Linked DNA regions of Notamacropus eugenii. The protein of the gene in region 2 interacts with the protein of the main gene of each other region in a biochemical or structural test. Links are inferred from orthologs where the notes say so. Each region holds a gene or a part of one and is shown on either strand. Other genes may lie near its edges.

What was found. The genes of interacting proteins can lie anywhere in the genome.
Region 1: the proteins of DOK1 (region 2) and FGR form a complex in vitro, tested with the Homo sapiens proteins (2 studies listed by BioGRID, with this or other methods). The link is inferred for Notamacropus eugenii from reciprocal best matches to the Homo sapiens genes DOK1 and FGR.

What each region holds. Positions count from the first base shown.
Region 1 is NC_092876.1:68,801,967-68,809,862, reverse strand, and holds the start of FGR (tyrosine-protein kinase Fgr), read left to right. Parts: upstream 1-4,872; coding exon 4,873-4,992; exon of another isoform or gene 4,993-5,248; intron 5,249-5,826; exon of another isoform or gene 5,827-6,670; intron 6,671-7,896. UniProt on the Homo sapiens protein: Non-receptor tyrosine-protein kinase that transmits signals from cell surface receptors devoid of kinase activity and contributes to the regulation of immune responses, including neutrophil, monocyte, macrophage and mast cell functions, cytoskeleton remodeling in response to extracellular stimuli, phagocytosis, cell adhesion and migration.
Region 2 is NC_092877.1:46,850,540-46,858,459, reverse strand, and holds the start of DOK1 (docking protein 1), read right to left. Parts: upstream 2,989-7,920; coding exon 2,914-2,988; intron 2,121-2,913; coding exon 1,821-2,120; intron 1,667-1,820; coding exon 1,573-1,666; intron 1,320-1,572; coding exon 1,135-1,319; intron 947-1,134; coding exon 155-946; 3' UTR 1-154. Other genes in the region: LOXL3 (lysyl oxidase homolog 3), read left to right, coding at 5,612-5,930. UniProt on the Homo sapiens protein: DOK proteins are enzymatically inert adaptor or scaffolding proteins. They provide a docking platform for the assembly of multimolecular signaling complexes. DOK1 appears to be a negative regulator of the insulin signaling pathway.

The DNA.
Region 1 (7,896 bases), on a different chromosome or scaffold from region 2:
ATATTTGTGGAAAGAGTTTGGAACTAGATGTTTTCCAGAATCCCTCCTAGTTCTAACATTCTAGACCAGGTTCTCCACCCCTGTTCTAGGCCTGCTGATTCGACTTCCCTTATAATGGATCTCAGTTTCCTCATCTGTTAAATGAAAAGATCTGCCTGCGGAAGGAATCTGTGTCACACCGTCACAATCACGGATATGGTCACGGTCACTACAGGATGGGAACGGAGGCAGCTGTGATGACGCCGCAGGTGTTCTTCATGGAGATGAGGCGGGCACCAGGAGTTCTTGAGTCAGTGAAGCTCTCTACGCAGCACTCCGTGGCTCACCAGCAGCACTTACTTCATCGTTTAGCTTCCGGGCCTACATCAGTCTTCTCCTCAGGAGTGATGTGCATCGCCAGGTGCAGGACGTAGAACAGGGCCCTGGGTCCCAAGGGAAGGGCCAAGCACGAGGTGGGGACCCTGTGTGTAGGTAGACGGTGGTCTGGGTGGTCACAAATAGGGAAAGCACTGGAGCAAAAGAGTGCTCCGGGCGTGGGACTAGATCTGGGCTAGGGATGGGGCTGAAACTGGGGAAGGGTGGGAAGGGGCGAGAATCCCGGGGATGGGGACCAGGAATTAACTTGAGGTCGAGAGGAACGATGGGAAAGATGCATGGATCGGTTGGGGAGTAGGACTTCTTCCTGGGGACGGGAACTAGTCTAAAACAGAGGAGAACTGGACTGGGACTCTCCTGGGGCGGGGCTTGTCTTGCAGGTAGGGCAGATTTTGGAGCCAGGACTGGGTTTAGGGACTTGGCCAGGTGTGGAGGGCGAGGTCTGGGAGGTGCCAGAGACGGGGGTGGGGCCTATGAAGGGCGGAGGGGTGCCAGTTACTGAGCACTGGGCTGATCTGGGGTGGGGAGTGGCTAGAGGCTGGGAGCTGAGCTGATTCTGGTCATGGAGCTGTCTGGGGGTGGTGCTAGAGTCTAATGACTGGCCGCGGTCAGACCCAGAGCCTGCCCTCACCGAAGTGAGGGTCCGAGAACATCCGGTGGGCGTAGAAGGCTAGGGATCCGGGCGAGACGTCCATGTGAGACGGCTATGGGGCAGTACCGGCTTGAGGGCTATGTTCCTGTAGCCGGCCAGGAGGACGGTGGGCTTGGACCCTTTGGCAGGGCACACATGCATTCCGGGGACCCAGGAAGCTGGATATTATTGCCTACCCTTTAGTCTCTTCTCGGCCCCCCACCGTTCACAGCTCCTTGCTGACCCTTTCTTTCTCTAGTCGCACCAAATAGTTCAGAGGAAGCCACAGGTCAAACCACGGGGCCACAAAGGCTTAAGCCAGCCCTAGGTGAGGGAGCATGTTTGGAGGTCACTTTTCTCAAGTTGAAAAGAACTCTCCTAACGCCTCCAAGAACATCCTGTCCCTTCCCCCAGCCCTAGCTTGTCCTCGGCCTCTGGAAAAGAGACTGGCTTTCTCAATGCCCTCCCAAAATCTCAGACAGTTTCTAGGAAACAGGTTACAAAGCACTTTACATAGACTCATTTGAGAACGTACTTCCAAGACTTATTATAAGCCTCAAATGAAATAATACAGGTGAAGAGCTTTGCAAACCTTAAAATGCTATGGAACTGTGAGTTGTTATACACTGGACCTGAAGTCAGGAAGTCAGGAGTTCAAATCCAGCCTCAGATATCTCATGGCTATGTAACTGGTCAAATCACTAAACTTCTCTCACTTTCCTCATCTATAAAATAGGCATGATTAATAACAGTAATAACACTTTTAGGTTGTCTCATTTGATCCTCACAACAACTCTGGGAGGTAAGTGCTATTTGCTATCCCCATTTTATAAATGAAGACTGAGGCAAAGAGGGTTAAGTGACTTGCCCAGGGTCACACAGCCAGTAAGTGTTTGAGGCAGGACTTGGATTCAGGTCTTCCTGACTCTAAGTCCTGTTTATTTATCCACTGGGCCACCACCTAAAATGGGACCAGAACTAGTTGTGTGACTGTGGGCAAGTCACTGAACATCTCTAGCAACCTTGTAAGATTATACGTTATGGGAGGTATCTGGGTCTGGTTTGGTGGCAGGACACATCCTGTGTTCCATACACAAATGAAAACAAAGCTTTAGATCAAGACGGGGGAAAAACTTCATGAAGTTGTGAGTAAAATGATTTGTAAGCTACTAAGTATATACAGTTTAGGGTGTGCTAAAATTTTCACTTTGGCATCTAGATGGCCAAGTGGATGGAGCTGTTGGGCCTGGACTCAGGAAGATTCTTCTTCATGAGTTCAAATCTAGCCTCAGATACTTACTAGCTGTGACCCAGGGCAAATCATTTAGTGTTGGTTGCCTCAGTGTCCTCATCTGTAAGATGAGCGAGGAAATGGCAAACCACTCCAGCGTCTTTGCCAAGAAAGCCCCAAATGGGGTCATGATGAGTCAGTCACATCTGAAACAACAACAAAAAATTACTATGTGTCAGCCATTATGCTAAGTGCTAGGGATAGAAACAAAAAGGAAATAGTTTCTGCTCTCAAGAATCTTATTTTCTAATGGAGAAACAATATCTACATTCATACATGTAAGTAAATACATCACATATACCATGTAATTTCATAGGGAGCATTTGCTATCACAGGGTTCAGGAAAATCTTTGAGCCCCAGGTGATCGGAGATTGCGAGGAAGCTCTGCATTCTAAGAGGCAAAGATGGGAAGGGAGAACATTCTAGGCCTGTGGGAGCTGTGCAAAGGTATTGAGATGGAAGTTAGGAATGTTGTGTACAAGGAAACAGCAAGCAGGCCAGTTTGACTGCTGTGTAAAATATGTGAACGTGAGTCATGTATCAACCTGGAAAGGCAGCCTGGCATCATACTGAAAACGCCTTCAGTAAGAGGCTGTGTGGAGGTTGGATTGAAGAGGATAGAGTCCAGATATAGAGAGGCAAGTTAGGAGGCTACTTCAGTAGTTAGGACAACAGGTGATAAGAGGTGGTTCCAGGATAGGCTAGGGTGGTTATAATATAGGGGGAGAGTAGGGAGAGATGGAGATACTGAGGCTGTAGAATGGACAAGGCTTGACCATTGGTCTGTCTAGAAGAAGATGAAGACTCAAGGCTAGCTCCAAGGTGACAGACTTGAGAGACTGGAAAGATGATAATACCCTCAATAGAAATGGAGAAGTTGGGGAAATGAGTAGGGTCATATCTACTTCTCAAACCTACCCATTTCCCCAACTCCCCTATTATTGAGAGCATTACTGTCCTTCCAATCTCTCAAGTCTGGGGAGAAGATAATGAATTGTGATTGGACATGTTGAGTTTCACATGCCTACAGGTCATCCAATTGAACGTGTACAGAGATTGTTGGTGATGTGGGCCCAGAACCTGGAACAACCACAGCTGGATAGACATATCTGCAGAGAGGAGATAGTAATCCTATAAGGAGGTGGTGAGATTACCAAGACAGAGGGTATAGAGAAAAGAAGAGGGCCCCAGTCAGAGCCTGTAGCAACACGAAGTATAAGAGGTGGTGGGGTGGTGGGGATGATGATGACCATACAGCAAAGGAGGCAGAGAAGAAGCCCACACAGACAGGTGAAGGTAGACCAAAGAAAGCTGTGTCAGAAAAGTTCTGAAAGGAAAGAGTCTGGGTGTGGAGGATGGCCAACGGTGTCTAAAGTTGCAGAGAGGCTACTGTAGTCTTCCCTACCATACTGGTGACCAGAGGCCATAACCCAGTGGTCCCCTCTACCCATGAGGTCCACCTTGGAATTCACCAGCTGAGTGCTGTTCCTCAATGCTGAGGCCACTGCCCCAGGGAATCTCTGAGCCACCTAGAGCACCATGGGTGCCTCCCTCAAACCTCAGACCAGGCCACTAACACCTGCAGGAAACATAAATCCTTGTCCCACCCCTTCTGCCTTGAGGTCCTTTGTCAGCTTGTGACTACATTAAATAACTAAAGCCTCAGGCAGGGCCTCCTGGGGGGGTGGGGGAGGGGACTGGAACAATCCCCTCCCTGTCTGCCACACCCTAGCCCCATCCTTTTCTTTCATTTGTACCTTCCAACCCTCTCCCGTGGGGAAACTGGATTGGCTGAACTCCACTGGGTATAATATAATCCCCAACCTTTGCTGTCCCCTTAAGATCCTGCTGTGGTTATCTATTTTTGACCTATCTCCTCCATTGAGTGGGGAGCTCCTGGGACCAGAGGCTATTAGTCGAGGAGGCTCTCCAAAGGCAGGGACAGATGCTCCCTTCCCCCAGGGTGGATACCTGGCAAAAACCAGGTCAGGCTGACAATTCATTCCCAGTTTCAATATTTGAATATCTGTGTTGCCTAATCCCTGCACAATAAGGGACAGTGTCAGTTAGGTGACCTAGCCCACACACCGCCTCCCTGTGATTCTCTTCCTGTCTCTACCCCTATATAACTCATGTTACTACAGGTAGTAGCTGAACTGGCTCTTGAACCCAGAACCCCTGACTCCAAATCTGGAGCAATTTTGACTACTTTGTGTTGCTTGCCCCATCTGAGTTTAGAGGCAGGAGATCTGTGGGGAGTGAAAAGAGTATGGAATTTGGTGTTAGGAGACCTGAGTTTAAGGCCCAGCTCTGCCATTTTACTACCTATGTGATGTTGGGTAGGATACTTCAGCTTCCTCTCAGAATCTCATCTGGAAGAAGCCAGCTAATCCAAACTATTGTTTGTCCTTCATTTTGAAAAAGCACCAGTTACATATTGAGTGATGTCTTCACTTGCTCATGAATTGGATTTAAGTGAGGAAAAGTTGCACAAAGTCATCAGCCTCACTCTCTTCTTGAGTCATCCAAGTCCAGTGGCAGGAGCGAAGTCAGGATGATTGGTGATAGCCTGAGATGCAGTGGATGACCTTGGCATCTTCAATGTCTGACCAAGCTCTAAGTGCTCCACAGAGCTTGCTTCAGCTGCCTTCATGGTCGGTGGAACAAATTATTCTCATCTGCCCATTCCTCCAGGTAAGTCTTCATAAGCTTGGGGTAGATATCCCCTTAACTTGCTGATAGTTTTTCGGTCTGTCAGGTATCCTCATCCTGGTTTATCCTGTCTGCCAAGGGGATTTTACCAAGGTGTGACCACTGCTCATGCTACAGCTTCTTGGAGTGACAGGTGAGAATTAGGTGAGAGGTGAACATCAAGGGTGGATGAGCAGCCCTCATGCCAGAGGTGCTGGTCCTCCCTGAACACCCCATGTACAAATGCAGAAGGAAGTAACTAAAGAAAGAAGGAAACATGCATTTACTAAGTACCTATTATGTGCCAGGCACCTTACAAATATCTCATTTGATCTTCATAACAACTTGTGCTACTATTACCCCCATTTTATAGTTGGGGAAGTTGAGGCAAAGAGAGGTTATATAACTTGTCCAGGGTCAAACAGCTAATAAGTGTCTGAGGCTGGATTTGAACTTGGTCAGTCTTCCTGACTCCAGGCCCAGTGTTCTGTCCCCTCAGCTACAGAATCAAAGAATCTCAGACCTGTCAGTCCCTAGGTGGCCATCTGGTCCAACTCGTACCTGAACAACAATCTCTCCTACAATACAACTAAGGAGTAGTCATCCAGCCTTTCATTAACAACCTTGAGCGAGGGGGAACCCACCACATCCTGGGGGACTCTGATCTGCTTTGGGTTAGTTCTGTTAGGAAACTCTTTCTGACATCTACTTCTGCATCTTCCAAACTAGTTTTTTTTGGGGTGACCAAGCATAAGAGTTTGGTCATGCCAGTTTCTCTAAGATGCTTTCCTGAACTGAATAAAGATGAGATCCGAGTCTTGGGACCCCTCAGCTCACCTTCTTCCCTTGGCCTGTGTTCAGGTGCTCTTCCTCTTCCCTATGACCTTGGTAGATGGAGCCATTCCATTCTATTCTTGTCTGTCTGCACTCTGCCCAGTGACCTGGCCCTGAGGGAAAGATGAGAACTGGGGGAGGAAGGCCCACTCTTAACCCAAGCCCACTGATTAGAAATAATATACAAGTTTTCAGAGGAAGGGGGTCTGCGGTATAAATGAGAGGTCTCTCTCTCTTCTTGTTTGGGAGTTCCTTAGGGTGGGAAACACAAGTAGGCCCACCATACACATCTGAGGCTAGAGACTGTTCCAAATCAACCCCACAGAGCACAAGTGATCCATTTTCCTGGCTCCCCAGAAGCTCTGAGATGCCCAGCCCTTAGTAACTTCTTTAAAAGGATACATTCACCAGCTCCACCCTTCATCCCCGAGGGCAAGGTGTTCCAGTGAAAGTCAAAGACCTAGAGCAGGGTGGAGGATCCTACTCTGCTATAGGCCCAGTGACAAAGGAAACCAAAGGAGAAGGGGGCAGGACTTGAAAGGAGCCAACTCTCTGCATTAACCAGGAAACATACAGGGCAGTATGACCTCACCTCCCATCTCACCTGCTCCTATCTGAAGTTGAGACCTCCTGGGAAATCTGCCAACTTCTAGCCCTCTGGGTGATGTATCTGGGTGTTGTATGCCCAGAAAGCTCTAGGACAGGGTTGGTAGGGAACAGGAAAATGACCAGAGCTGTTTGAAATCTCTGCCTACCAGACAAAGCAGTTTTAAGGGTGTGGTCTAGGTCCTTTCTTTGCTTTCCTGACCTTCTTCCAGTCTATCTGTTCTGAGATCAAGGATTATGATTTTTCAGAAAATGAAAGGAATAGAGCTGAAAGGAACCTGAGAGACCTTGTTGTTGAAGTCTGATCTCCTCTACAAACATCATCCACCAGTGGTCATCTTGCATCTGTCTGTGGACTTGCAGCAATGTGGAGCTCACTACCCATCAGAACATTCCATCCCATTGTTGGCTGGCTCTGACAGCTAGGAAATTCTTTCGTATATTGATCTTTCCCCAACTAGACTTCTATGTACTCGTTTCAGCTCTGCTCACTAGGTTCTAGACTGATCTTATGGGCAAAAGCAAGTCAAGTCATTTGCTATGATTCCTGAGCTAGAGCTACTGTATCAGTAGATCCTGACTCTCCAAGGTCAGGCCATAAGACCAGATGCCTAGAGAATCAAGCCAGAGATGCTCCTCACTTATCACCTCCATTCTCAGTAAGGACCAAAACCTAACAAAGCAAAGTATGCTCTTACAAGTACCCAAGGACACAATTCTATTGGGGATGACCAACAGTCATCTAGTCCTAATTGAACATTTGCTGCATATCCAATCATGTATTTGGGACCTGTAGGAAGACAGAAGAGGGAGAAGCAATGGTTTCCCATCTTTAGGGAGTTTAGACAAGATAAAGAATCATAAATTGTCACAAATTTCTGGAACAGGCCTTAGCACCTAGAATAGTAGAGCTTAGAAGGGGCCCTAGAAAATGCTGTAGTATGTCAAAGTTGGGAAGAGCCTTAGAACATATAGACTGCTGGAGCTAAAATAGGCCTTAGCTTATGGAAAGAGTTGGGTAGTGCCCAAGAACATAGAATGTGAGAGCTGGGAAGTTCCTTAGAAGATAGAAAGTCTCTAACCTTAGAAGAATCTTTAGAACTTAGGATGTCAGAGCTGGGAGGGCCCTTAGAACAGAACATCAGAGTTTAAAGGACCCCTAGAGATCAAATCCAATTCTCTCAAGGGGAAACTGAAGCCTGGAGAAGGGAGGGGACTTGTCCAAGGTCTCAAAATAAGTTAGCAACAGAGCCAGGACCAGATCTTGTGATCCCCAGTCTGGTATTTGTACTACTCGACCTTCAGTCTCTTGGAACCAATATTAATGCAGGCAGGCAGTCCAGTGAGAGAGACACAGACAGTAAGCTTTGCTGCAGGCCTGCAGAGAGTGGAGAGGCCCTGAAACACGTGGGAAGGATTAAATAGTGAGGGGGAGGAGGACATGCGATGCAGGGAGAGCTCTCTGAG
Region 2 (7,920 bases):
CCTTTCCTAATCCCCTGGAATCCTGACCCTGCTTTTCTGAGGTCTGGACCTTGATTCACTGATACCCTTTAGCCTCAAATAGGCCTCCCCTTTCTCGGGGGGATCACTCATCTCCCCAGCACCCACGTAGGCCCTCCAAGCCTCACCCAGGTCTTTACATTGGCCCTTCTGATTTCATCCCAGTCCTGCTTTGAGATCCCCCTTCAGGCATGCCCTGGCCCCAGCCCTTGGCAGTAGCACCCTTCTGTACCCGGCTGTACACTGGGAGTGCGAGACTGCTGGGGCTGTTAGACCGGGGGAGCATTTGGGGCTTGGGGGGTGGAATGGGCTTGAGGTTCCTTGGAGGGGGCACAGCATAGTCGTCCATAGCAGGGTTATAGGGGAGCTCGTAGCCCTCCTCCCGAACCCGGGCTCGCTGGCACCAGGCATCCCTGGGCTCCTGGGGCTTGTCATAGAGGCCTGGAGCCGGGGCTGGGCTCTGGCCCTCAGGCTCATCATAAATAGGCTCCTTCTTGACTCTTCCCAGCCTTGTATCTTTAAGCTGCTGCTGCACCTGTTCAAACAAGCCCCAGTAGAGGGGGGAGCCTCCTCCAGCCCCATGTCCTGTCCTCTGGCCTGAACTGTCCACAGGATCTGAGTACAAGGGGTCTGAAGTGGAGTCAGGCAGCGACCGAAGGGCATCCAAGGGCTCTGAGTAGAGGGCAGGGCCATGAGCGTGGGGATCTTCAAGGCCCTGGGAGGCAGCCCCTGCTGTCCCCACCTCTGATGAGCCAGGCCACTGCTGATCCAGGCCTGCGCCGGTTCCAGAAACAATGCCAGCTTGAACCTTTTGCCTTTGGATGGCAGCCTCCACAGCCTGAAAGATGTCATTCCCTTGTGAAGTATGGAAAGTGAAGGTTCCAGGGCCTGAGGGGCATCTCCGTCCAGCCTCGAAGGAGAACATGGCCTGGAGGCAGACGAAGAGGGCAGAGGTGAGCAAACTTATGCACAGGAGAGAAGAGGCTTACCTGAGGTCATCCTAGCAGCAGTCAGCTCTTGGGCCTTAGGGGACCCACCACACACTCCTAGCCTTCCCCTCTGTATATCCTCTGCTTCCTTCTATAGTGGCACCTCTGACCCATCCCAAGCCCTTACCCGATCCCGGCCATATCGACGGAGAAGAGTATAGGGCCAGGTGAGCAGGGGCTCCTTCTTCTGACCCTGCCCCCCCAGCACCAGCAGACTCAGACCATTGGCCTCCACCCTGAGCAGGTAGTGTCCCTGCAGCCCACAATGCTCAGATGCCTCTGTTTTCTGTACAGTCACCCAGAACTCAGACCCTGGGGAGAGAGGAAGGGTCACACTGAAACATTCCCAGATGGAAAAGGGGAAAGACACTCAGGTCCTAACAGGGACTGGATCATACCTAGACACCAGACCCACAAGAGCTTCACGCCCCCTCCCCCCAATCCTCCAGGTGACCTTCAGCCCCATGTGAGGGCTGTGGAATCCCTATTCCAGACCCATGGTATGCCCTCTCTTCTCATGTCCCTGGACCTCCCTCTCCCCATCCCTTTCTCCTTTTACCCCTACCTTGCCCATGGGGGCTGTACAGGGAGTTCTCCTGCATCTCCATTGAAGAGGGCCCCGAAGAGCTTTCACCAGGAGCCAGAGACCAGCAGCCTTTCTGCAGGGGAGAAAGCATCAGTGTTTTCCACCTGGGGTCTGAGTCCAATCAAGTTGGGGAGTGGGGGGGAGGAGACACTGACTCCGACCTTGAACCTGCTCCCTCACCAAATGGACTCCCCTAGACAGCATCCCCAATCATTCAACCCTCTCACCGGAAAGGCAGTCTGGCAGAGCATTTGCACCCAGGCAACACTGGCAGGGCCCTCAGCTGCCAGGAAATGGGAGCGCTGAGCAGTGTCCAGTCGGAAGACCGATGTGCCAGGTCCTGGGGGGCTGTCCAAGGCCACCGGGGCCACACTCACGCAGTCCGACAAACGAATCACTCGGCAGTCTAGGCGGCGAGAGCCTCCCCACCCGCCTCCAGAGCCTGACCCTTTGTGCTCAAAGAACTCAAGCCGGGCAACTCCGCTGGCACTGGAGGGGTACAAGGCTGCCCAGGCCTTCTTCCACTTCTATAGTGGGGAGAACGTGGGGAATGCTTTGAGAAGCCATTTGGGAAGAGGAGAGCATGGGGAAGGTACGGAGGAGGGTCATGGGATGCCCGGGACTTAGCTCTACCTTTGGGACGAGGGAGGGTGGAGGTCAGCGTACAGAGATCACGGAGAGGAAGAGATACAAGGAAATACTACGGGAAGGCCCTGGGAAAAAGGGATGTGGACATACTGAAGGAGAGGGAAGTTAGGGGAACTGGCTCTCCGTATAACACAGCAGCCTCATCTTCCTACCCGTTTGGGCAGAAACCCTGGTGAAGAGATACGTGAACACGCAGGGAAAACCAGGAAATGAGAGAGAAATGAAGGGACGAGACGGGCTGAACATGCAGGCTCGCCCTGCATCACCCTTCCTCTACGGGGGCAGGCAAGGGAACCCCATACAGAAGGTGGGGGGGCGGGAGGGCTGAGGGCAATGACAGGGGCCATGACTGGCACAGGTCTCCAACTTCGGAGGGAGGCCTCCCGCAAAGACCCCAGGCCAGGAGCTGAGGATCCGAGCCCTGCCCCAGCCGCCCCCCAATCCTGGGAGAGGTGGGGTTTCCTAAAGGAGGCGGAGCTCCCTGGTGGGGGTGGGCGCATTTCCGTCCCGCCGAGGCTAGAGGAAGCGTGGTGGGGCTGGCACTTCCTCCGGAGTTTGGGGAGAAACTTCTCCGGGACCAGCCTCGGGCCCCGCTGCGGCCCTCCCGCTCCCAGCCCAGGGGCTCCCCGCAGGCCGCCGCCCCGCGGCCCCCGCCCCTGCCCCTGCCGCCACCTTGGCCCCGAAGCGCTGACTCTGCACGAAGAGCGGTCCCTCCATGGCAGCCCCGTCCATGGCGGCGCCGTCCATGGCCCCAGGCGGCTCCGGACGCTTCCTGGCGCTGCGGGGCGGGGGCGGGGCGGGGCCCGCGGGGCGGGGCGGGGCTGGGGGGAGGGATCACCCCCATCCCGAACCCCCAGCTCCCCGCCCCGAGTGCCCGAGCCGGCCTCCGGGCTTCCTGCGGGACCCGGAGACGGGGACTGGACGGGAGCCGCCGGGGCGGCCAACATTCCTGCGGCCGGCCGGCCCCGACGCCCGGAAAGGAAAGAAGTGGGAGGACTCGGGAGACCCACCCTGCCTCCCCACACGCACGCCCGGCACAGTCAGCACACGCTCAGCCTCCTCCTCCTGCGGTGCCTACTGGGTGCAAGACCCGGGGCACCACGCCTCTGCACCGCAGGCTCGAGCCCCAGCAGGGAGGCTCCCTCGGGGCAGGTTCCCGGCCCGGGACGGCGAGGACAGCTCCGCTGCCTCGCAGAGCTTCCCCTCCATCGTCCGCAAGTCAGACCCAGGCGTGTGTCAGGCTCCGCAGGCGCAGCGCGCACGCAGTCCGTGCAGACAGACAGACAGACAGACACACACACACACACACACACACACACACACACACACACACACACACACACACACACACACACACACACACACGTGTTCAGGGTCCAAGCCAGCCCACACTCCACCGAAACCTCAGGGGGTGAGGGGTGGAAGAAGGCAGGGGCCTTGGGGGATGGGCAAAGGGGTGAAGTTCGAGAAATGAACACAGGCTTCTCCAAGTTCCAAGCCAGGGGCTTCGCCCAACACGGGCCCCCGGGTGTCCTCCAGCCTCAGCCAGCGGGGGAAGAAAGCCTCATTGAGCCGAGAGGCCAGGGGCGGAGGGGAGGAGGCGAGGCTGGGGCCTGCCTGGCCAGGGAGGGGGAGGGACAGACAGAGTGGAACGGTGGGAGGGATTGAGGGAGGGGCGTCCAGTCTCCCAGAGCCCGGCACTTTCTTGGAAGTCCCTGGGTTAGGCTCTGAGGCCGGGACTGGCTTCCCCCATCCCATTCCTTCGGACGCAACTTCCAGCGCAGAGGTACGGGCGCTTGGGGAGAGGGGAACAGAGCAGACAAGCAGGGGAATGAGGAATGAGGGGGGCTGGGAGGGTGGAGGGATGGATGATGGTCACTGGGAAAGAAGTGGGAGCACTGGAGGATGGGGGGCCAGGGGCCAGCGGGGAATGGGATTTACAAGGAAAATGTGAGGAAAATGGGAGTAGAGAGTTGGGTGTAGGACAACTAGGAGTGTGTGGGTAACAGTAATAGGGGATATAGGAGGGTGTAGGAAATAGGGGGACCCAGGTAATAAGGATGAAGAAACGAACAGGAGGGTGCTGGAGACGGGAAAGATCGGGGTGAACATAGGATGGGGGACACAGGGTATAGGGGGCTTGTGGGGGTGAAGATAACCGACACTTGAAGTTGTTTTATACTTTCTGTCATCGGCCAGTTCCCGGTTCTGTGAAAGAGTCGTTTGATGACCAGTGCAGGGGAAGTGGGAGAGACAGAAAGGGGTCCAGCCTGGCAGGGGGCAGAGAGTGTGGCAGCCAAGGGAGGGGATGAGAACCGTGTCTGAGGGTCGGACAGGGTAGGAGGCCAGCAGGGTGGAAAGGGAAAAAGAGGACAAGAGTCTGCTGGGAGTCTGGCCCAGAAAAGTCAAAGTTTCCATAGAGGACTGGAGGGAGAGTAGAGGAGAAGGCTAGAGCTGGGGTGGGGGTGGGGAGGGGGGATAGGGCAGGGTCCAGTTTGCTCCCACCAAAGGCTCCTTTGCAGGGGATAGAGATGCCAAACCCCAAAGTCAGCTGTTCCTATCCCATCCCCCCAGGGATTGGGCCTGTCTCTCTGGCCTAGTCTCTGTTGCCTCAGTAACCGCTTGGACCTTCACGCTCCCTCCTTTTCCTTCCCTCCCTCTCTCCCAGTGGCTCCCACTGCTCCGCCCCATCCCTCAACCCTGGTCCCTCTGGGTCCCCGTGTTCCCCTGGGACAGGTAACCAAGGAGCCTCAGTGTGTGACTGTCAAAGTGGCATCATCCAGGACCTTGTTTCCTGTGTCACTATCAACATAGAGGCTTATGACTTCTGGTGTGGGCAGCTGTGTGTGATCCATGCAGCTAAAATTATGTGTGCCTGCCTGGGACTCTGTGTGTGTGTGTGTGTGTGTGTGTGTGTGTGCGCGCGCGCGTGTGTGTGTGCATGTGTGTGTGTGTAACATAGTGTGAATTGTGTTTCTCTGAGCCTCTCTTGCACATGCTCTGATGAGCTTGCGTTTACTTCCCAGCTCTGAGCATAAAGGGCTGCTTTCTTAACCACTATTCCTCCTCCTCAATCAAGATTCAACAGAAACCTATCTCATTGACTTCTGTTTACCATTCTTACATCACTTTCATGCTGTGTCTCCTAATCAGTCTGTCATTCTTCATCTGTTGAGTTCACAGGTTATCTCCTTCCTTCCCTCCCTCACCTGTCTCTCTGCCTTACTGTGTCTCTATGTCTCTGTGTGTCATCAAAGGTGTTTTTGTCTCTCATTCTCTTAATTCAGGTCTCCATCTCTACCATATTGTCACTCTGTCTCTGTCACCATCTTGCTATCACTAAAGTCTGGGTTTCTATTTCTCTTAGACCATGTCTGACACACAGGTCGCCGGGGGCCAGCAGTGGGGCCTTCGGGGACTGCTTCTATGCATGTTATGTACCTGGTGCCTGGGAACCCCCTCTCCATCCCCAAGCCCTGCATCGAGCACTGGTAGCAAGCTTCGATTCCGCCTAGCTGGTTTTCCTCGGAAGCACTATGAGGGCCGTGTGGAAATACAACGGGCTGGCGAGTGGGGTACCATCTGTGATGATGACTTCACACTGCAAGCAGCTCATGTGCTGTGCCGGGAGCTGGGCTTTACCGAAGCCACGGGGTGGGCCCACAGTGCCAAGTATGGCCCAGGCACAGGTGAGAACAAGCACCAAGAAAGGCCACGGAACAGGGAAAAGGCACCAAGTCCGGCTGAGGGTGGAAGTTCAGAAAAACATGGAAAAAGATATAGTCTGCAGGCGATACAAAATCAGAAGTATTGGAGGCAGGGGAGGAAGGAGATGATTGATCATTGAGTTACTATATTGACAAAGTCCAAATCTAAAAAAATATATGATTGGACCAAATCTAATATATTGAAATGCAATAAATACATATGTAAAGTCAGGAATGGTTCAAAAAATCAACTGCACTTCCCCAACAGGCATGAACAGATAAACTATTCTTAAATTGAGAATCTTCGGGATTTAGTGGACTGAGTGCAAGTTCTATATGTCAAGCAAAAAAGGTCAAGTGACTGAAGGCAGCGTCAATAGAGGCGGAGTGCCCAGAATGAGGAAGGAGGCATTAGTACCCTTGACCTCTGCTCTGGTCAGACCTTCCTTGGTATACTGTGTCCAGTTCTGGGCACCACACTTGAGGATATTGATAAGCACATCTAGAGGAAAAAAGAAACATACACAATAAAGAGAAACTGGGAATTGAAGGAACATAGTACTCAGGCTAGAGAACATTATTCTAGAGTCAGATTCCACCTCTTATGAGCAAAGCGCAACCTCCTTGGACCTCACTTTCCCTATATGTAGAATAAGGTTGGAGTAGATGGTTTGACCTCTGAAGTTTCTTTGAATTCTAGGTTTATGATCCTAGGGAAAGAGAAGGCTTACTTATCAGGACATGGAAATAATCTAGAATCCTTAACAAGTGGTTATGCTGCTGCTTCTTGAACATTCCTGTGGACAGGAAACTCACTGTGGCATGAGGCAGCCCATCACGTTGCTAGACTGTTCTGATTGTTGGAAAATTATTTAGATGAGCCCCAATTTCATCCTATAACCTATTCCAATTTCAGAGGCTGCTGGCCATGAATATCTTCAACTGCCCTCCATTCCCTACCCCACCCCCCAATGATACCTCTGCTTTTCCAGTACTTAGGTCTCCTGTAACCCTAAAAACAAACAACTCTCCCTTTATCATGCCCCTCTTCTCAAAGCATGGTCCTATATCTCTCTCCTTCCCTTAATTGCACAACTTCTGGACCTCCTCTTGCTCAGCCCACTTAAATCTGACTTCTATCCCCACAACTACTTAGTGAGTCTCTCCAAGGTCATCACCAGTGACCTTTTCATTGCCAGACCCCAAAAGCCTTTGCTCAGTTCTCTTCTACCTTGACATTTCTGTGCTATGTGAGAGGCAGGATTGGATGTGGAGTCTGGAAAACGCAGGTCTGAATCTTGCCTCTCCAACACTTCCTGGATGTATGGCCATGTGCAAATCACTTTAACCTCTGCTTTTCCTTGAGATCCTGTGATGTCTGTGGGTATTTATTATAGAGAAGATGGATTAGACTTATTCTGCTTTGGCCCCCAAAAGGCAGAATTCGGTACAATGAGTAAAAGTTACAGGGAGACAGATTGTACCTCAAATAACACTTTCCTAACAATTTGAACTGCTAAATAAACAAACAACAAAAAAAACCAGTGGACTTCTTCAGGAAACAGTGAGTTTGCACACATTCAGAAGTCCTGAAGAGGAATCTCAGGGAGGCTATACATAGAAAGGATTTCTATGCTGAGAAGGAGTTTGAACAAGGTTCCTCCCAACTATGAGATCCTTTCATTTTTAACTTTAGCCTGGAAAAAGAGCATGTCAAGGTAGGCCTGGATGTTACATGAAGGGGACTGATTGGGAGAGGGGGTAACCAGTGCCCTGAGCTTTGGACCAGGTCAGATGGGAGTGCTCATTCTGGCTCTTCCTCTAAATCATTGTGTGTCTTTGAGAAAGTCACTTCCTCTCTCTGGGACTCAGTTTTCCTCTCTGGAAAACAAAATAATTGGACTCAGTGGTTTCTAATCTCCCATCAAGTTTCAAATTCTATGATTCAGTGTGATTCTGTTCACTCCCCAGA